3 linked regions of the Elephas maximus indicus genome follow. The protein of the gene in region 1 interacts with the protein of each later gene in a biochemical or structural test. Links are inferred from orthologs where the notes say so. Each region holds a gene or a part of one and is shown in the gene's direction. Other genes may lie near its edges.

What was found.
Region 2: the proteins of ARF1 (region 1) and PLD2 form a complex in vitro, tested with the Homo sapiens proteins (2 studies listed by BioGRID). The link is inferred for Elephas maximus indicus from reciprocal best matches to the Homo sapiens genes ARF1 and PLD2.
Region 3: of the proteins of ARF1 (region 1) and AGAP1, one has a biochemical effect on the other in vitro, tested with the Homo sapiens proteins (2 studies listed by BioGRID, with this or other methods). The link is inferred for Elephas maximus indicus from reciprocal best matches to the Homo sapiens genes ARF1 and AGAP1.

What each region holds. Positions count from the first base shown.
Region 1 is NC_064820.1:232,617,597-232,624,468, reverse strand, and holds the start of ARF1 (ADP-ribosylation factor 1), read left to right. Parts: upstream 1-3,359; 5' UTR 3,360-3,465; intron 3,466-6,872. UniProt on the Homo sapiens protein: Small GTPase involved in protein trafficking between different compartments. Modulates vesicle budding and uncoating within the Golgi complex. In its GTP-bound form, triggers the recruitment of coatomer proteins to the Golgi membrane.
Region 2 is NC_064837.1:14,473,884-14,480,755, forward strand, and holds the start of PLD2 (phospholipase D2), read left to right. Parts: upstream 1-2,694; coding exon 2,695-2,884; exon of another isoform or gene 2,885-2,970; coding exon 2,971-3,101; exon of another isoform or gene 3,102-3,182; coding exon 3,183-3,325; intron 3,326-3,703; exon of another isoform or gene 3,704-3,730; coding exon 3,731-3,836; exon of another isoform or gene 3,837-3,858; intron 3,859-3,931; coding exon 3,932-3,997; intron 3,998-4,140; coding exon 4,141-4,199; intron 4,200-4,339; coding exon 4,340-4,432; exon of another isoform or gene 4,433-4,523; coding exon 4,524-4,676; intron 4,677-5,080; coding exon 5,081-5,230; intron 5,231-6,872.
Region 3 is NC_064824.1:137,770,675-137,777,546, forward strand, and holds the start of AGAP1 (arf-GAP with GTPase, ANK repeat and PH domain-containing protein 1), read left to right. Parts: upstream 1-2,600; 5' UTR 2,601-3,051; coding exon 3,052-3,988; intron 3,989-6,872. UniProt on the Homo sapiens protein: GTPase-activating protein for ARF1 and, to a lesser extent, ARF5. Directly and specifically regulates the adapter protein 3 (AP-3)-dependent trafficking of proteins in the endosomal-lysosomal system.

The sequences.
Region 1 (6,872 bases):
GGGTTGGGGGGTAAGAGGTGCCCCTTGAGCCAGTTCTCTCCCACCTCATGGTACTGGATGGTGGTCCTCACGCTGCCTCTCAGCTGCTGCGTGGCCGCAGGTGAGCTCAGCCCTTGCCAGACAAGGCTCCCCCCACCACAACCAGAGTGGCAGTTGAGGCCTGGCTGGCCTAGACCCCAGCCCAGGCCCGAGGAAGGGGGAGTCACAGGGTAGAGTGTGGGGGCTTGTCCAGGCCCTCCTCCTGAGGACCCCCGTGGTCAGAACAGACCATGATCATTCCTGCAGTGGGCCTGGAGGAGGGAAGGGGATGGGGTCCTTTCTCCATCCCATCCCTATCCGCATGGAAGCCCTGTCTCAGCGGTTGCCTCTGGCCCCTCAGAGGGCCAGATGGAGGTGGGGGAGCATAGAGAACCAGATGATCCGCCGTGCTCCACAAAAATCATTGAAGTTCTTCCCACAATTCAGCACTGGGTGTTGAGCTGAGAGCCTTGACTTAGCCGGGGACCAGCTTCAGTCCCAACTTTGGAGCTTCCCCCAGGATGGGGCCTGGTGAAGAGCCTCCCCCAGCAGTTATGTTGAGGGCACAGGGACTGCAGGAAGGCCGGGCAGAGCAGATATGCCCATGAACAAGGGTTACCTTGGGCAGTGGTGAGCTCCCCATCCCTGGAGGGGTTCAAGATAAAATTTCACCCTCCAGAGGCAATGTAGCAGGTGAGCGGAAGACTGAAGGCATTGGCCACAGGCAGACTGGGGTTCTAGTCCCAGTGTGGCTAAGAACTAGCCATATGACCTTGAGTATGCTGCCTGACTTCTCACATAAAGTACTAGCCAAATTTTAACATCCACCCGCCCCTGGGGGCAGGGCTGGTGTCCTTGAGTGTATGAGTGCTCCCTCCTCACACCTCCATTCCAGCCAAACCGGCCACTTCTGCCCCTTCACTCAGGCCCGTCCTGCCCATCCTTCCAGCCCACCTTCCTCAGGATGCTGTCCTGTTCAGCCCTGACTGCTCTGAGCATCTGTCAGGGGCAAGGGGCCCGGCAGGTTAGTCAGAAAGGGAAGCTGGGTTGGGATCTCCCCAAGCTGTTGAGTTATCAGCTAAGGTGGCTGCGGAATGTGGACACCCCAGGGCCTGTGCTCTGCGCCGCCTCCTGGCCAAGGCTGAGAAGGCACCCACTCTAGGCCCCACCTTGAAGAGATTCTATCCTGGGAGTCCCACACAAGAGGGACACGGAAGCCCTAACTCCCTTGTCAACTTGGGCAAGCACCTGGGCCTTAGTTTCGCTAAATAACTGCCTGACACTTCCTGATCTTGGAATTATTCCCCTGGTGTGCCTGCTTTAACCTGAAGACAGCTCCCTTGCCCTGGGGGCAAAACCAGGAGGCCGAGTTTGGGAGGAAGTTACATTTCTTAACCTGGAATTCATTTATTTTTAAAACTGTGTGTATCTTACACACACTCCTTCCTATGTATGATAGCCTTCACTTTTTTTTTTTTTTTCTTTTTAAAGAAAAGGGAAGGTGAGCTCCAGTTTTCAGGTACTGCCACCTCTAAGTCTGTCTCCTCACTGCTCCTTTCCTCGGTTCCTCAGCTTTGAAGCAGTTGTGATCACAAGGTTCACATGTGGCTAGGATCTCTAGGATGACTGTGGGAGACACCAGCCACAGGCCAGCTCCCTGGGGTGAGAGCCATGACCACTGCAGTTCTAGGGAACCTCCATGTCCCTCCCTGGGAATGCAGACCCAGGAGCACTTCACAGGAGTATTTGTAGAGGGGAACCCTGGTGGCACAGTAATTAAGTGCTGGGCTGCTAACCCCTGTCAAACCCACCAATCACTCTGAGGGAGAAAGCTGTGGCAGTCTGCTTCCGTGTAGATTAGTGCCTTGGAAACCCTACGGGGCAGTTCTACTCTGTCATATAAGTTGGAACCAACTCAGTGGTAATGGGTTATAGGTCCGAATGGGAGAGAGACCCCTAAACAGACAACCCCACAGCAGTTGACAGAGGTGACATCTGAGCTGGTAGTGTGATGGCAGTTGTGTCCCAGGCAGAGAACGGGGTGGCGCTTGCAGGCAGGGGAGCCGTGGGCTCTTCCACAGATGACATGTTTTGGGGGCTGGAGCAGGGACTTGTCTATGGGGGCCTGGGTTCTCATTATTTCAGAAGGAGGAGAAAAGCAGTATTTGGAGACAGGTGGGTCACAGGGTCATTGCTGTCTGGGGTGATGGCAGCATTGGCATCGTGAGACCCGGGCCACGCCAGCCCAGCGAGCAGGCCACACCGCCTTTGCCAGGTGGGTGATGGGTGCACTTGGGGACAGGAGGCTGTCTGCCGGGCCACAGTTGCTCTGCAGGCTCTGGTGCTGACCGCCTCATCAGGCAGGCCCCTGGACTCGCCACGGAGTGATTATGCCAGGACCCAAGTGAAGGCTCCACTTTTGGCCACCCACAACACCTAGGGCACTGGGCTGGAAAGCTTCCCTGCATTTCCACTAAAGCTTCTGGAATGAGGAGCACCCACCGCGGGGGATTCAAAGTCACATGAGGGTGATGGGAGGATGTAGCCCTAGGGGTCAGCTGGAGGCCAAAGTGAGCCTCACAGTGGAGGCCAGAGCCAGATTCCTGCACCCTGAGAAACTGGGGGGAGTGATCGGTTCAGGGAGGCTTCCCCAGGAAATGTCTCCTCCAAGCCTCACCGTCAAGTCTGTCCCTTCCTCATTAGAGGTCACCCAACCACCCCCCTGCAATCACTCTCCCTCGTGCCACTGGCTTTCCTGCCCTGCTGACCCCGTACTACCGGACTCAGTAAATCATTTATTTCTTCCATATAGGACGGTGCTCCCGCAGGTCAGCTCCAGGGACAAGCGCGTTTGTTCTGGTCTCTGCCAGGCCCTTGGACGGCGTCCAGTAACGTTCCGGTTTGCAGGAGGAGGACGCCGGAGGCCTGAAAGCTCCCTGGAAACCCCCTTTTCTGTGTGTGGCCGCCTGGTGGTGGCCACGGGGCCCCCCACGATGCCGCGCGCGGGCCGCAGGGAGGTGGGCTCCTTCTGCCGGCGATGGACCGGACGGGAGGGACTGGACAGGAGGGCCTGGCCCCGTCCCACCGCTCCAGGCCCCGGTTCCACGTCGGTGAGAGGCGCAGCTGGCCCGGCGCCCAGCGCGCCCACTGCCCGTCCGATCGCGTGGACCGCTAAGGCACCTGGACCCGTAAGACCGGGACCGGCCAGGGGCGGGGCGCCGTTCCCTCGCTGCTCGCCCGCCGGCTCCGCCTCCGCGCGCGGCCCGCGCATGCGCACCCGGAGCGGTGTGGGCGTGGCCTGCGATGTCCCTGCCCCAGTTACCCGGCGTCTCCCGCGGCAGCAGGCACTGACGTGGCCGCCGTCAGAGCCGCCATCTTGTGGGAGCGAAACCAACGCCTGGCTCGGAGCAGCAGTAGCAGCAGCAGCAGCCGCCCGGCCGCCGAGGGGTGAGACGGCGGGGGGCACGGTGCGGGCAGGCGGCGGGGCTAGCCCTGGGGTTCGCGCGTGTCTCGCCCCTTCGGCGGCGGCGGGACCGGAGGCAGGCGAGGCCGTAGGGCCGGGCGGTTTGGGGCTGGGCCGAGCGGTCGGGGCGCGGAGGGCTTGGTCGGCGCCTCCCGTGTCCCCCTTGTTGGCCTCTGCTACCCCGAACGCTCCCGCGCGTTCTCGCCCGGCACCCTCGCCGCCTCCCCCTCGCCGGTCCCGAGATCCGGAGGCGCGGGCTTCGGTCCTGGCCTCGCCGGGAGGTCGGGCTTTTCCTTTAAAAAGCCTTCGTTTCCTGCTCCTTCTCTGGAGCCCTCCCCGCCTTCGAAGCCGAGAGGTTTGCTTCCTCCTCTGCTCGGGAACTGCTTGTTCGAGCGGGACTCGCTCGCCGGTGACCGGCGCAGGGAAAGGAAGTTGGAGCCGGCGCGTTTGAGTCATTTTGCCCTGGCAGGGTGGAGGAGGAAGCGGGGCGCTTAGGGCTCGGGGCGCGGTGGTCTCCCAAGGACGGATGAACGTCTAGCCGGCCCCTTCCAGGCGCCTCCGGGTGCCGACCTCTGGAGAGGAAATTTTATAAGCCTCGAGGTTTATGAGGGATCAGGAAACTGAGTCTTGGATCGGCTCCGTGACTCGGTGAAGGTCACAGATCGCTAGGGTTTGAACCTAGGCCTCCTGCCTCCAGTTCCTGTTTGCTCAGAAGCTGGGAGTCGGAGTTCGCCTGGCGGGTGCTGGGGGAGGGGAGGAGCGGCTGGGAGCTGCCTGAGGGCAGGGGCCCTGGGCTTTGCCTCTGTTGCCGAATGGAGGTTCGGCTTTCACGTGAGTGAGATCTGTAGACCTCTAAGACAAACCCGGCGTAGCCTAGGAGATGCGAAGACTTTAAAGGATGCCAAGCTCAGGGAGCTGCCTTCTGAGTAAATCGGCAGTCGAGGCTCCTGTGGCCTTTAGAGGACTGAATTATCCTTGCTTTTTTAACCTTAGGACTTTTTCCTTGAATGTCTTGGGGAGTAGATAAGAATACCTCTTTCGCAGCTGGCGAATCTTTAACCTACCTGTAAAACAATTTGCTCCTAAAGTCTAGGCAGTCTCTTTAGCAGAGCTGACCTCATGCTTTCCTGTTGCACAATCCGGGTTGTTACGGCATGGAAAATGGTAGTTTTGTTAATAAGGCTTAACAATTATACAGTACTTAAAACATTAAGTAATTATTTGAGACAGTACCTCGGAGCCTGGTGGCACACTCCCCATTTCATCGAAAGGAAAAGCAAACTGCTGTTTTAAATGACTTGAGCAGAATTGCACAAGAAATGGCTGGCAGAAAACGAGGAAATTTCAAAAGCTTTTGGGTGGTCCCAGAAGTTTCTGTTAAGAGCTGCACAGTTGATGTCACCACTGGTGTTGGAGTTGTCAGTCCCAGTTCTCCTTTCAGAACTAGTGTCAGCACTTTTTCCTACTTGCTGTGTGCACGACTGGTCCTGGTGTTTCCAGCAGTGTGTCTGAGGGAGTATAAGGTCACTGCATGGTGTACTGATCCTGTGGTCTTCTGCCTTGACATTCTCCACGGGTTAACAAAGTGCTACTGCTCTGTGGTGTCATCGCCATCGGCCACGTTGGTCAGAGGTTCTTATCTTGCTTGCACTAAGATCTTCTGGTAACCTCCTAGTGGAGGTCCTCAGTCCTGGATGTGCCACATTGTAGAGTTTTACTGGTCTTCCTAAATATCATGTTGAAAAATATAATGTCAGCATTAGAAATATGCTGCTCGTGTGGGGGTATTCTCAGATACTCAGAATTGCTACTCCAGAGAGATTTAAAATCACTGGTTTGGATAATAGCTGGCTTGACTTACACTCCACCACTCATCAGTGAGAGAGAATTAGTAGAAAGCAGAAACTAGTTCTGTGCTCTCTAGGGTTCTGGATTTTAAAAATCATGGTGTTTAGCTGATTGCACAATATGAAGAGGACATTCGGACTTCTTCAACTGCTGACCTGTCTGTACCCAAAACCAGACAGGCCTGAATCTCAACAAAGGTACAGTCTGGCTTTTCTTATTCACGTCAGGAAAATGTAATATGGGCCATCAACTGCTGAGGTGATCTCCGGAGTCAAAGGGCCATAGGAGTAAACCCAACCAAGGGAAAAAAAAAATCTGTTGTGCAGGTTCTTACAATGGTATATTAATTTGGCTTGAGAGCATTGAATCAGTTTTTTCAGATTTTTCTAATTAAATTTTGCCTTGATATGTCTGGATTTAAAATTGGCTGTTAATCACAGATCAGGCTTTTCACACTTTTTTGCACACACCTTCCTGAGCGTTGTTATCGTTCTACTTTACAGATGATCAGACCTCAGCCATTCTGGATTTGCCATGCTTTTCACAGACTATCCTTGTCCACATTGTCCGTGATAGGGACTCTCCCTTTGACCCGTTCAGCCTTCATAATGGTATTAGTAGAAGTGAAGGGAAATAAAAATGCAGATCTGTTAGAGGTAGTTGGGAGAGAAACAGACATTTCTTTCAGTTGGGAGTTTGACATTAAATGAGAAGTACCTTTTTTGTGCTGTATGGCTCCTTAACCGGCATAAAAAAAAAAAAACCCAGCGCCGTCGAGTCGATTCAGACTCATAGCGACCCTATAGGACAGAGTAGAACTGCCCCATGGAGTTTCCAAGGAGCACCTGGCGGATTTGAACTGCCAGCCATTTTACTGGCATAGGTGGTTGTTAAAGATGTCCTCTTAGCATCCTCTGAAGTAGGCTTTTGGAAAAGATTTTGACCTAATTGTGAGTTGGGTCTGACCCTACGTATGGGGAAGTAAAGGGTGGTGGGAGAGAAAGGAGGAGATAGAAATTCCAGGTCACCTGGATAACACTTAAGATCATTTTTTCATCCTTAGGCTTGTACCCTCTTGTGATTGTCATAAGCTCTGTGAAATATAGTTGCACCTCATCTTTTACAGCTATTCAGGAAGGTAGTTTCGCATTCTCAGGTGGGTCAAATGGCCTGATTAGCTGGAAAAAAATGGCAAGATTTAACACAGAAACATCAGGACTCTTTATTTCTAGGAGAATCTCTTTGGCCCTCACCCACAGAGTCTTGTCACAGCAGCTGCCCTGTAGAAACTGGAAAGAATGGTGGAGGCTGGCTGATTGAGGAACCCAACCTCCATACTATCCCGTTTCCTGGTTTTACATACAGTGGTAACTGGAGCTTAACAATCTGTCATCAGTGACTAGAAAGGGAAGAAGGAGTTCCTTCCAGTCCCTGACAATAGCAAGGGGCATGGTTTAAGTGACAGCGAGGGAGGAGACAGGAAAAAACATAAAGCCAGGCAAATTTCAAAAACATAGCATTGGGAGCTATTCAGTTTAGGAGG
Region 2 (6,872 bases), on another chromosome or scaffold:
CTAACCAAAAGGTTGGCAGTTTTGAATCTACCAGCCGCTCCTTGGAAACCCAATGGAGCAGTTCTATCCTGTCTTCTAGGGTCACTGTGAGTCGGAATTGACCCCACAGCAAGCGAGTTTAGTTTTTGGGGTTTTGTACCAAGTAACTACTGATCAGATTTGTATCACCACTGATTGTTTTTGCCTGTTTTAGAACTTCAGGTAAATTGAATCATATCGTATTACACTTTTGTGAACAGCTTCTTTCAGCATATTTTTAAAATTCATTCATGTTGTTGTGTGTATTAAACATTAACAAAAGTATACATCAGTATATTCACAGAGTTGTACAATTATCATCATTAGTTTTATCCTATTTTCATCACCCCCAAAAGAAGCCGCATATACCTTAGCAATCACTCCCCACTCCCCCTCCCGCCAGCCCCTGGGAACCACTAATCTTCTTTCTGCCTATGTAGGACATTTCATATTAATGGATCATATAATATGTGGCCTTCACTTAGCATAATGTTTACAATTTTCTTGGGTATTTACCCAGGAATGGACTTGCTGGGTCATATGGTAACTATGTTTAATACTTGGAGGAATTGCCAAACTGTTTTTCAACTTGGCTGTATCATTTGATGATTTGTTCATTTTTATTGCTGGGTAATATTCTACTGGAGTCCCTGGGTGGCGCAAACAGTTAAGCGTTCGACTACTAGTCAAAAGGGTGGCAGTTAGAACTGACCCAGAGGTGCCTCGGGCCTGGCAGCCTGCTTCTGGAAGGTCACAGCCTTGAAAACCCTGTGGAGCAGTTCAACTCTGCATACATGAGGTCACCACGATTAGGATTCAACTGGAAGGCAATTAACAACAATATTCTGCTGTTAGAATATGATGCAAATTCACCAAAATTAAAATTTTCTGCTCTTCAAAAGGCACCATTATTAAGAAAATGAAAAGACAAGACACATTCTGAGAGAAAATATTTGCAATAGAGAAGTCTGATAAAGAACTTGTATCCAAAATATATAAAGAACTCTTACAATTCAATAAGACAAATAATGGGATTTAAAAAAAAATTGCCAAAAGACTTGGACACTTAACACAAGAAGATATACAAACGGCCAATAAGCACATGAAAAGATTGTCAAGGTTACTAACCATCAGAGAAATGCAAATTAAACCACAACATACCACTTTGCACCTATTAGAATGGCTAACTCATGTTAAGAAGACTGACATGATCAAGTCTGGGAGATCCCCAGAAACTCCAACTATCCCACGTTGATTTTGGAAATGTAAAATAGAACAACCATTTTGGAAAACAGTTTGGCAGCTCCTCATAAAGTTAAACATAAATTTATTACATGAGCTGGCAACTCCACTCCCAAGGGAAATGAAAACATATATCCACACAAAGACATGTACAGGAATGGTCATAGGACCTTTATTCATAACAGAAACTAGAAACAACCTAAATGTCCATCAAAAGGATAAAGAAATCTGACTTCTTATGGATACTGAAATATCTTGTCTTTTAGGACATGAGGATTTTCCTGTTTGGTCCTAGGTTGTAAGTTCCGGGAGAGCAGGTTCGGCGGCTGTCTTGCTCACTACTGTCCGTCCGCTCAGTGTCTGGCAGTGAGCAGGTGCGCAATAATGTTTGGTGACTGGGTGAAAGCATGGATCAGTGAATGCAAGCATGCATACCTTAATTAATTTGTAGCCACCATCGCTCGGGTCTTTTACTCCTTCTATCTACAAACACTGGCTGGGCCAGGCCCGAGGTAGTTCGTTGCCGGCCCGGGACGGGAGGCAGCGGACGCCCGTGGCGGACGCGCGTCCTGCCAGGGTTCCAGCCAGTGCAGGCGGGATGGTAAGGACCGAAGGGCCGGCGCCCGAGCGGAGGAATGCGCACCGCCCCGAGCGCCCACAGGGCGGCGGCCGGCCCGGCTCGGACCGACGGCGCGGGACAGACGAACAGACCGGCGGACAGTAGCCAGCTGGACGCACCCACCTGGCCGCGCGGCCCCCAGGGCAGAATGAGCCCCCGGGCAAAGGCTGCTCGCGGGCCTGCGGGCGGGCCGAGGGCGGCGGGGGCGGGACGGGACCGACGAGAATCCCGCGGAGGTGAGGCCGGGGGCCGTCCCGCCCCCGAGGGCAGGCCCTGAGTCCCGGCCCCGCCCCGGGCCGCTGGGGTGTGGGCTACGCCGCCCGCTGCGCTCGGCTCCCTCCGCTCGGAACCCGCGCCGGCGCCGGCCGGGGCTGCCAGGGTGAGGCTGGAGAGGGGCGCCGCGGGGGCCTGGGGCCCGGAAATCGGACGGGGACGGGATGGGCTTGGACTGCCGGGCCTCCTGACGCAGCCGCACTCGGATTTCGGGGTTTCTCTCCCGAATCGGGAGCGCGTAACTTCCTCCTTCCCGCCTGGATCTATCTGGTCTCCCACCCTACTTGACACCCAGGGTCCTTCCTGCCCCGGCTTCTGCTCTGTCCCAGTTCGGGGCCACCCGGGCCTGGCCCAGTGCCCATTGGCTCTCTAGTTACGGGGCGGGGGGCGGGGCTGAGGGATTCAGGATGCAGAACTGAGGTAGGGGGATGGATGGTCAAGGGGGTTCGTCAGGTTCGTTGCAGACCGATCCGGCCGTAATCAGAGAGAGGCTGGGGCTCAGCGGGAGCCAGGTGAGTGGGGAAGAGGAAGACCTGTGGGAGATGGTGGTCCGTAGGGGCTGGCATAGGGGGCAGGGTTCTTCCAGGCAGGCCACCTGCCTGAGGCCTCCCCATGTTCCTAGGATGATGGCCACCCCAGAGAGCCTGTTCTCCACTGGGGGCGACCTGGACCCAAGCCAGCTACAGATGGAGCCCGATGAAGTGGACACCCTGAGGGAGGGAGAGGACCCAGGTACACAGAGAGGACAGCCCTCAAGGAGTGGGGGACAAGGGGACTGGGGCCTCCTGGATGGACACTCTCATTTTGTTTCCACCCAGCTGACCGGATGCACCCCTTTCTGGCCATCTATGACCTTCGGCCTCTGAAAATGCACCCTTTGGTGTTCGCCCCTGGAGTCCCTGTCACAGCCCAGGTGGTGGGCACTGAAAGATACACCAGTGGATCCAAGGTGGCCAGGCTGGCACCAGGAGGCGGGTGAAGGGAGGACTGGCAGAGTGGAAGACTGGGATCCAACTTCAGTTCTTTGCAGGTGGGAACCTGCACCCTGTATTCTGTCCGCTTGACTCATGGCGACTTTACCTGGACAACAAAGAAGAAGTTCCGCCATTTCCAGGAGCTGCACCGGGACCTCCTGAGACACAAAGTTCTGATGAGTCTGCTCCCTCTGGCGCGGTGAGAAGGAGCAAAGTGCTTACTGTGCAAGGCAGGCGCCTTTCACCCCATAGAAGCACGAACTCCCCATCCTCATGATTTCTTCAAGCCTCTCTCACCCCAGCCACAACCTTTCCTCCTCCCAACTCTGGCCGCCAGGCACCCCTCCTCACCCTGGTTGCCAGAAAACCTTCCATGCTCCGCTCTCCCTGCCCATGGTTTTGTGCCAATACCTCGGCCGGGCTCAATGCCCAAAATGCCCTTGGCAGTCTCCTGCATTCTCTTGTCTCCATTCCCAGGGTAGGGGGGCTCCCTCCTGCCAGTCTCTAGGCTTCCTGCCCTCCCCCAACACTCCACCCAGTGCTCCAGAGGCCCAGGCACCCAGGCCTTAGCTCTTACCTGACCCTCACCCCATCCCTTCCACAGCTTTGCTGTTGCCTATGCTCCAGCCGGAGAGGCCACCAACAGAGAGATTCCCTCTCTGCCCCGAGCGGTTCCTGAGGGCTCCGCCAGACACGCAGCCAGCAAACAGGTGAGATCAGACACCAGGTCTTCTAGGAAGGGGTTTGGTGTGCAAATGGCTCTGGTCCCATCTGTTTCTCTCTCTTCCCTCCATCCCCGCTTCAGAAGTACCTAGAGAATTATCTCAACCGCCTCTTGGCCATGTCTTTCTACCGCAACTATCACGCCATGGTAAGGCCCTGGGACTGGATGCCTGGGTCCATTTGAGCTAGGAAGGATCATCAGACTACCAAGGGAGCTAAGGACCAGGGTTGGTAGGGTCTGAGGGACTGAGAGCCAGGGTCTCTCCTCTGAGCCTTTGCCTTCTTTTGCAGACAGAGTTCCTGGAAGTCAGTCAGCTGTCCTTTATCACAGACCTTGGCTCCAAAGGACTGTGAGTGTCTAACACCCCTCACCCAGCCATCTGCAAACATTTCAGGATCTCTCCCTGCCCTGAGAATAGGGAATGCAGTGCAGAATGGGTTGGGAGGTTTGAGTTCCTCATCTAGTATCTCTTCTTGATTTTCCCTACAGGGAGGGGGTGATCCGCAAGCGCTCAGGGGGCCACCGGGTTCCTGGCCTCACCTGCTGTGTCCGAGACCAAGTTTGTTATCGCTGGTCCAAGAGGTGAGGGCTGGGCTGCACGGCTGGGCACTGGGTGGGGGTGAGGAAGGAGATCCGAGGGCAGGGAGGAACGGATGGAGCCCTTCCGCTCCAGGTGGCTGGTGGTGAAGGACTCCTTCCTGCTGTACATGTGCCTCGAGACCGGCGTCATCTCATTTGTCCAGCTCTTCGACCCTGGCTTCGAGGTGCAAGTGGGGAAAAGGAGCACAGAGACACGGTATGGGGTCCGCATTGACACCTCCCACAGGTAAGGCCGCTTGGGGAGTGGAGAGCCAGGCCTAGAGCCCTGAGGGTTGTTGAGTGGGAGAGACCATGGAAGAGAAGAAAGTTTCTACCAGGGAGCTCGGCCAGCCAGATGCTTGGGACTGTTCTTAAAGTCCAGGCTCAGAGAAAAGGGTTTGAATGTAAGCCTGGGAGAGGGGCTGATAAAGACAAAAAGGAACTCCATTCATTCACTGAACCTAAGTGTCTGGCATCATACTAGGTGCTGGATACGCAACGGCAGGTATGTGCCCTGTCCCTATGGAGTTGTGAGTCAGGGACTAAGACAGGAAGTGGGAAAGAAGTGCTAGTCAAAGGGGGGAGGTCTCAGGGCAAGGCCAGAGGCATGGAGGTGGAGGGTTAGTGCTCCATTTCATTGCTCCTGTCCAGGTCCCTGATTCTCAAGTGCAGCAGCTACCGGCAGGCACGGTGGTGGGGCCAGGAGATCACCGAGCTGGCTCAGGGCCCAGGCAGAGACTTCCTACAGCTGCACCAGCATGACAGCTATGCTCCGCCCCGGCCTGGGTCCCTGGCCCGGTGGTGAGACACTGACATCCCTTCTGAGCATGTCTTGACCCCCGCGGTGTTTTTTGACTCCTTTACCCTCTCTTTTATCTCCTATGACCCTTCCGATCTCATTGACCCCCTTTGACTTCTGTCATCTCCCTGACCTTTTTAAGCTTGCTGATCGCTCTGATCTGATCTTTCGGATCTTAACCCCTTTGACCTCCAAACTCCTCTGACCCCTGACCTCTCTGATCTCCTGTGACCTTAATCCCCTTCCCGTACATCAGCTCCCTTTGTTCTCTCTGCACTCCTCAAGTCTCTCTGATGTATTCATTCATTTAGTAAACATTTTCTAAGCACCTACTGTGTGCCAGGTCTAATGCTGGGAATGACACAGGATTCTCTGGTTTCCCCTCCAGTTAGTTGAGTGGGTGATTCCGTCATGAAACAGTGTGAACTTGCCACACTAGCGATAGATGCAGAGTGAAGAGCCCAGAGGAGGAGCGTCTGGCCCAGCGTGGGGATGTCAGGACAGGCTTCCAGAAGGCAGGAACACCAAGGTTAGCCTTAGCAAGACAAAGAAAATGGAGACAGCTGTCCGAGCAGAGAAGACAGGAATAGCCTGACGTGTCTGGGAACCAGCAGGATTGCTTGTTGTTGGAGCGTGAGGAGGCGTGGTCAGAGAAGAGTCCAGGGGAATCCGCAGCGTGTGATCATGCAGGGCCCCATGTGCTAGGCGCTAGGCTAAGGAGGTTGAACGTTATCACAGGCCAGAGGGGAGTCATGGAAGGAATTTTGTGTTGGAGGTAGTTTTGAGAATTTTTTTTTACAAAAGAACTAGTAATAGCTAATGCTTACGTAGCACTTAACTATGTGCCAGCAACTGTTCTAAGTGTTTTACGTGTGTTAACTCGTTAAGTGCTCACGATAACCCTATGAGGCAGGTACAGTTGTTTTCTCCATTTTACAGATGAGGAAAATTGAGGCAAACAGGTTTAGAATCTTGCCTAAGGTCACACACCTTGTCAACAGTGGAACCAGGTGGAGGTCTGGGTTTAGTACCTGTGCTTAACCACCAAAGTAGACTGTTGGTTATTAAAAAGTCTAACAATATGGAAACACATTTCCCGCTCATCGACCACTCCTTTACCCCAACTCCCTTCCGGCAGTCCCTCCCGACAACCCTATTTCTCTCCCCAGAAGCAACCCTGGCGACAGTTTGATCTGTATCCTCCCAGGTCTTTTTCTGTTGTTTTCATATGTGCACGCACAGCTGTCTATTTTAACATGAACAAGTTCACTCTTCTGTGACTTACTTTTTCACTTAACACATGTGTTAGAGATTAGACGTTTAGGTTACTTCCAATTTTTCAGTTTTATACAACTGCTGAGATGTACACAATCTTTGCCTAAGCATTTTATAGGACGTAAGAAACCCTGGTGATACAACACTTAAGCGCTCGGCTGCTCACCAAAAGGTTGGTGGTTCGAACCCCCCCACCAACCGGCTCTGTTGGAGAAAGGCCTGGTGATCTGTTTCCATAAAGATTACAGCCTAGAAAACCTTATGGGGCAGTTCTGCTGCATCACATGGGGTTGCTATGAGTTGAAAATCGATTTCACAGCACCTAATAACAACAACAACTTTCCTAGAAATATAATTACTGGGTCAAAA
Region 3 (6,872 bases), on another chromosome or scaffold:
GAAACCTAACTTGTCACCGCCCAGCATGACAGTGAGTGCTCAGTAAACATTGGATGAGTAAATGAACAAAGAAAATGAATAAATGAAAATTTACAAAAAATATTGCCAGGTAATATTGAGATGTTATTTAGTGTGAGGCACTGGTAGTTCAGTGGTAGAAATCTCATCTTCCACGCAGGAGACACGGGTTCAGTTCCCAGCCAGTACACTTCACGTACAGCCATCTCTCAGTGGAGGCATCTGCATTGCTATCTATAATGCTGGACAGGTTTCAGTGGCGGTTACAGACTAAAAGAGACTAGGAAGAAAGGCCTGGCAACCTACCTCTGAAAATCTGCCAGTGGATTCTTTATGGATCACAGCGTTCTGATCTGTATCCGATCTTGGGGTGGTGCACAACCAGACAGCGTTCTAATCTATTGTGCATGGGGTTGCTGTGCGTTGGGGGTCAATTCTGCAGCAGCTAACAACAGCAACGTCAAGTTCAGTAATACTCACAAATGTGTTCCTCCCTTCGTTGTCAAGAAGACAAAAGGGCATTGTAGGCAGGAATGGGCACGGGGAGTGTAACCCCACGACCCTAGCTTCAGGTTCCATTGCTGAGCAGGGCAGCTTTGGGGGAAGTGCTCACACTCTCTGAGCCTCTGCATCCTGCTGACCCACTGGGCTCTAGAAATGCTCTTGTGGGTAACTACCTCTGGGCTCCCTGTTAGCGCTAATGTGTAACTTGGTTGAAGGTGGGGGGTAGTTCTTGTACCTCATCAAGGAAGGCTTCTTTATTGAAATTCAGAAAGTAAAGTGACCTCTCCTGTGTCTCCACCCATAACTGAGGACATTTTGGAGGGACTCTTGCAACCCTGTGGTGGTAGAAATTATGTTGTCAGAGTAGAGACCACTGAGGGTAGCCAAAACATGTTTCAGAGTATCTGTTTAAAAATAAGCCACAGTCACCAAGCAGTCTTTCTGAGGTATCTAATTAAAGAACCAAAAAAAAAAAAAAAAAAAATTGCCATGAAGTCGATTCCGACTTACAGTGACCCTATAGGACAGAGTAGAACTGCCCCATACGGTTTCCAAGGAGTGCCTAGTGGATTCAAACTGCTGACCTTCTGGTTAGCAGCTATAGCTCTTAAACACTACACTACCAGGATTTCCTGTATGTAATTAGACCTGAATATTTAACTCTGAGATAAAATCTAGATTCCCTAGGCTATAATCTCTTTCATAGGAAATCTTATCTGATCCATCTTTATATCCCTTTCCCTGCCATGAACACAGTGAACAAAAAAAACCCAAACCCATTGCCATCAAGTCGATTTTGGCTCATAGCGATGCTGTAGGCCAGGGTAGAACTGCCCCATTGGGTTTCCATGGAACAACTGGTGGATTTGAACTGCCGACCTTTTGGTTAGCAGCCAAATGCTTAACCACTACCTCACCAGGGCTCCGTAGGTGTTCTATAACTATTTGTTGAAAGATGAAAGAAGAGAAAATCAGTCCTTGACAGTCTGGCTTGCGAACAGCGCATCCTGAGCGACGCTTGGCCTGGTTTCACCTTGCCATCAGGACCATCCCTAGAAACAGCTTCTTGACACAGTTGTCGGCGTTCCCAGGCTTAGAGAAGGACATATAAGTGTCTGGTTTGATTAACAGACGTGGTGTTCATGACATTTTTCTCTAGGAAACGTTTATACACACTCACAAACAATAAAGCCATGTTCAGGACATCATGTGGGGCTGATGTCGATCGACTGTATACACACATTGTGCTGTATCAGATAATATCCAGAACCAGCAGGTGTTAGAGTGAAGAGAGTGGGAACATTTGCTGGAGAAGCTGGACTTTAAATATTCATGGCCACTAGTTCGTGCTTACACAGAATGCCTGGCACAGACTGTATTAACTAACTTAGTCCTCACACGGAGTTCTGTGTTTAGGCACCATTTTCATCCCCATTTTACAGGCGAAAAAACTGAGGTGTCTAGAGATTTAAGTAACTTACCTATAGCCACTGCCTAGTACGTGGACACAGTTCCTGGGGCGGGGGTGGGGGGTGCAAAAGGTTAACATGCTCAGCTGCTAATGAAAAGGTTGAAAGTTTAAGTCCAACCAGAGGCACCACGGAAGAAAGGCCTGGCGGCCTACTGAAACATCACAGCCATTGAAAACTCTACGAAGCACAGTTCTACTCTGATGCACCCCAGGTCGCCATGAGTTGGAGTCCTAGGCAGCTGGCATTCTGCCTGTTGTGCAGGTCATTTGTTGGAGTTGTTGAGTTCCGACCTGCAGGGCTAGGAGAGAGGGGCCTCGTGTAAAACCGCAGCAGGTGACGGATGCCCTTCTGTTTGGTTTTGCAAGCCAAACGCGGGAGTTTTTGCGTTATTTGGGGCGGGGCGCCAAGCCAGGGGCTCCGGTCCGCGCGGCGCTGATCCACGCCGGCGCTTCGGTGCGCCTGCCGGCCGCGCTCGCCGCCGCTCCGCGCTCCCGGGATCTGCCGGCCGGCTGGGCGCGCGGCCCGGGCGCAGGACGTCGGCCCCGCCGCCCCGCCCCGGCGCGCATTTCCATTTTAAACCGCCGCCCGCCGCCCGCCGCCCGCCGCCCGCCCGCGGCCGCCGCACCGCTCGCGCGCCCGGTCCGGGGAGTGGCGAGGCTGCGGAGCCGCCGGACTGTGAGCGGAGGCCCGGCGATGCGCCCGGGCCCGCGCCGCGAACAATGAGACCGCGGGCGCCGCCGCCCGTCTGGGTCCCTCCGCGCCGCGGCCGCACCTGCGGACGAGAGCGGCCCCACGCCTGAGAGCCCGGCCCGCGGCCCATGGCTCGGGGCCCCGGACTCCGGTACTCTGGCCGCGCGGCGGCGGGCGCTCAGGGGCCGGCTGGCGCCAGGTGTGCCGTCCCCGCGCGCTGAGCGTGGCCTGGGCTGCAAGCAGGGGGCGTGCGTCCACTCCCGGGCCGGGTTCCTGCGCCCCGCCCGGCCACGGACCCGACCCCACGCGCACGGCTCCCGGGCGCGCTGGATGCGGCCGCCCCGCGCCGGCCGGGGCCCCAGGCGACATGTACCTGCTGGACGGCAGCGGCGAGCCTGCGTCGCCGCCCGCGGACGCGATGCCGCGCGGGACGCCCCCCAGGAAGACCGTCTACCGCATCTCCGTGACCATGGTCCGCAAGGATCAGCTGGCGGGCCCCGACCCGGGCCCAGCCCGGCGTCCCCGTCCAGCGCGCTCCCCGGACGCGCCCGGGCGGCTCGTGGAGGAGGCAGAGGAGGCGGCGGGTGGCGAGGACGCCGAGAGTGGCCGGCCCCACGCCTGGCACGCCCGCACCTTCCGCACTCGTAGCACCGGGCAGCTGGAGCTCGGGCGGCTCCGAGTATGCGCCCGTGGTCTCGAGCCCGCGGAGGGCCGCGCCATCAGCCCCCCGGCCGTGGAGCCCGGGGCGGAGGCGCCCAGCAGCCTCGACGGGGAGGTGCCGCGAGCCGCGCCCCTGCGGCGGAGCCTCAGCTTCCGACACCGGAGCGGCCCGGACCCTACGCGGGGCCAGGCGCCTGGCCGCGGGCGGCGCCACAGTAGCTCGGGTAGCCTGGGCCGCACGCCGGGTGCCGAGGCCGGGCCTGGTACCGCCGCGCCGCCCGCCCCTGAGAAGCGCAACACCCTGGACGTGGGCGAGGTGCTGAGCAAGGGCGCCGCGCTCTCGGAGCTGGAGCGCTGGGAGCGCAGCAAGAGCAAGCACCGCACTCTGGACAACAGCGACCTGCAGCGGCTGGAGCGTGCGCGCGCGGCCGCTGGCTCCGGAGCGGCCCCCGAGCGCCGGCTGCTGCGCTTCTTCAGCGGCATCTTCGCGCGCAGAGATGGCGTGCCCGCCGGCGGCCCGGGCGGCGGGCGGTCCCCGCGCAGCGGCCCCTCGCGGCCCCGCGGCTACTTCAGCAGCCTGCGGCGCGCCCCGGCTGATACGCACTCGTCCAGCGCCGAGAGCATCGACGGCTCTCCGCGCAGAGGTGGGCAGGGCTGGTGGGCCTGGTCCGGCTTCGCGGGGGCCTGCTAGACAGAGCACGGTGCGACCTGAGCTCCGCTAAGCCACCTGCTCTCCTCAGGTTGCAAAGCCAGCAGGTGGTTGCGCTGCACGTGAACTTGGGTGCTGTGGTTCTCCTCAGCAGTGCTGCAGCGGCTTGGAAGTTCTGGGCTGCCCCTTCCCCTTACCTGGGTGTGGTGTTGCCTTTTGGGGTTGTGTCGCCTCACCGACGGAGAGCTAGCTCGACTGGGGAGAGTACCTTGCCAAAAGGTGCTTTTTTTCCGCAGGTGCTGGCGCAGCCTTCCAATAGAAGGCCTGTGACCTCTCTAGGGGAGCCAGGCTGTGGTACCTGTGGGGCTGCCGCAGGGAGCTCCGCACAGGTGGTGCTGCGCGACCAGAATTCGATTTTCTTTTCTGGTGAGGCTAGCATTCATTTTAGCTGTTTTTTTCCACCTCCCCCCAGCCTCGTCTTGTTCCCCCAAATCTAGTCTCGTTGTCGTTAGTTGCCAGCGGACACTATTCAGACTCATGGCAGCCGCGTATGCGGGGTAGAACTGCTCCATAGGGTTTTCACGGCTGTGACCATTTGAAAGCAGATTGCCAGACCTTTTTTCCGAGGAGCCACCAGGTGGGTTCAAACTGCTAGCCTTTTGGCCAGCAGTCCAGTGCTTAACCCTTGTGACACTCAGGGATTCCTAGTCTCCTTCTAGGCACTGCCATCTGTGTGCTAGGCTGTGATCTCAGCAGATCCACTCTGACACCTATTGGCTTCCTGGTAAAGACAGTTCCCTCCAGTAGTCAGGACGGGTAGGGCATGTAGATCCACCTCCCCCACAAAGGAGTATCTGCATACAAGAAAAGCTAGTCTGGGTAGGGTTTGGCTTCCTGCAAAGGGCACCAGTGAACGGACATGAAAAGCAAAGCAGACGTCTGTTCTTGCATCTCCGTTCTCTGGCACCTTCTGACAGGGACCTTGCAGGAGGGCTCTGGGGGCAGGTGTGATAACATGCTTCTGCAGGATTCATTTCACCTGCTGGTAGCAGCTGGGGCTCAGAATTCTCCAGAAACTGCAAAACACAAAACCCATCTCACCACATACCTGGGCACCATCCTGGTGGCAGAGGTTGGGAGTGGAGAGGGGGATGTGGATTGTTAACCCCACCCCTCAGGTGTAGGGGAGGGAAGCCGCAGACTTGTCACCCGGCATCTCACTGAGGGCAGGTTATTAGTAACACCTCTCATGCGAATTAAACTGCCGATGCTGCTTTGAGATGAAGGGAAGTTGAGTGAGGGCTTTCGGTTAGACAGAGGCCTCCACTGGCCAGCTAACTACCTCTGGAGAGTATTCCTGCCGGGTCTCCCGGGTTAGCCGACAGCCCTGGTGTGTATCCAGGTATCGGCAACAACCAAATGCAGAGAAATCACTGCCCTTGCTGAAGCATTTTCCAGGTAAAACTGAAGACCCCGTGTCTTAATGTACTTATATTGACCCTCAGAGTGTTATGTTTGAGATCAAGTGGTTGAATGTCTAGTAGTAATAAAGCCTAAATTCATTTTTAATAGCAAGGATATAATATGAAGTATCACGTTACCAGGTTTGTAGTAGTTTGACCTGCTGTACATAGAAATGGGCTAGACTGTAATACTTTAAAGTATGCATCCCTTCCCAGTACGTTAGCATAAAGCGTCTTTCCCTTCCAGCATGCTCTTGGCGATACTAGAAAAAGGTAGGAGTTACTTTGGTTTGCATAAAGTTGCTACTGCCATCGGATGTGCTCAGAGGAGGCTCAAACCCACAGCTCCCGCTTCTGCCTATAATAGCAGGCTTGCATCTTTGCTGTCACGGACTTCGTAGAAAATAGTAATTAACTGCCTGGGTTCTAGACAGCACCCCTGGAACAGAGCGTACAACGAGCACACAGGTGCGTATTTAGAACACAAGCGCTCCATTGTGGTGTCTGTTGATACAGGTTAAAAGCATTTGAGGTTTGGGCTTTTCTCCTCTGGCCAAATGAATTGATAGCAGATTGGAAATAGTACAGGTGTCTTGGCGTTTGCTCCTTTAGTACACTCTAAGGTGGTAATAACATGCCGTAGCGATAACTGTAATGTGCTCAGCCTGTCTGTCCCCTGTGGCCAGTCTGGCTCAGAGCAGCATTACTTGGTCTAAGACATAACGCTCACGTTGTGGTTTATGTAGAGAAATGGGGTGTGAATGAAGTGGGCTTCGGCACAGTCAGAATTCTAGCCCCTCGCTCCGTTCTGAAGTTCTGACCGATCACAGGAGAAGGCTGCACGTGTCGCCTGGATACAGCCTCTCCCCTTGGCTGTTGGTGTTGCTGTTGTTGGGTGCCTTTGAGGCAGTTCCCACGCATAGCTACCTCATGTGGCTGAGGACAACTGCCCCATGGGGTTTACTTGGCCGTGATCATTATGGAAGCAGATCTCCAGGTCTTTCTAAAATACCCGCAGTATGAGTGCCGTTTTCCACTTTTGTGTAAGGCCAGCATTTGCTTCAGGCCAGGGTGCAGCCCTCGCCACCCCCAGGGCCTCGCTTTTATTACACTTTTTAAGTTTTTATGTATTTGCTCCTGTGACAAATTATTCAGTATTTACGTGATATTTAAGTGGAGTTTTGGTTTGAAGGTAAACATTTTTACTTGAAAGTAAAATTCAGAAGCAGTAGAGGCCACACTCGATGTCCCCTGTGAATATCCTATCATAGGACACACTCAAGTCCACAGAGGCTTCCCTCTACCCCCTCACGCCCAGACCCTTGGGGCCAGATGGGTGTGCAGAGCTCAGAAACTTTGAATTTTAGGAAGGCAAGATATGGTGCATGTTCTGGCCCACCACCTGTGGGGACTGGC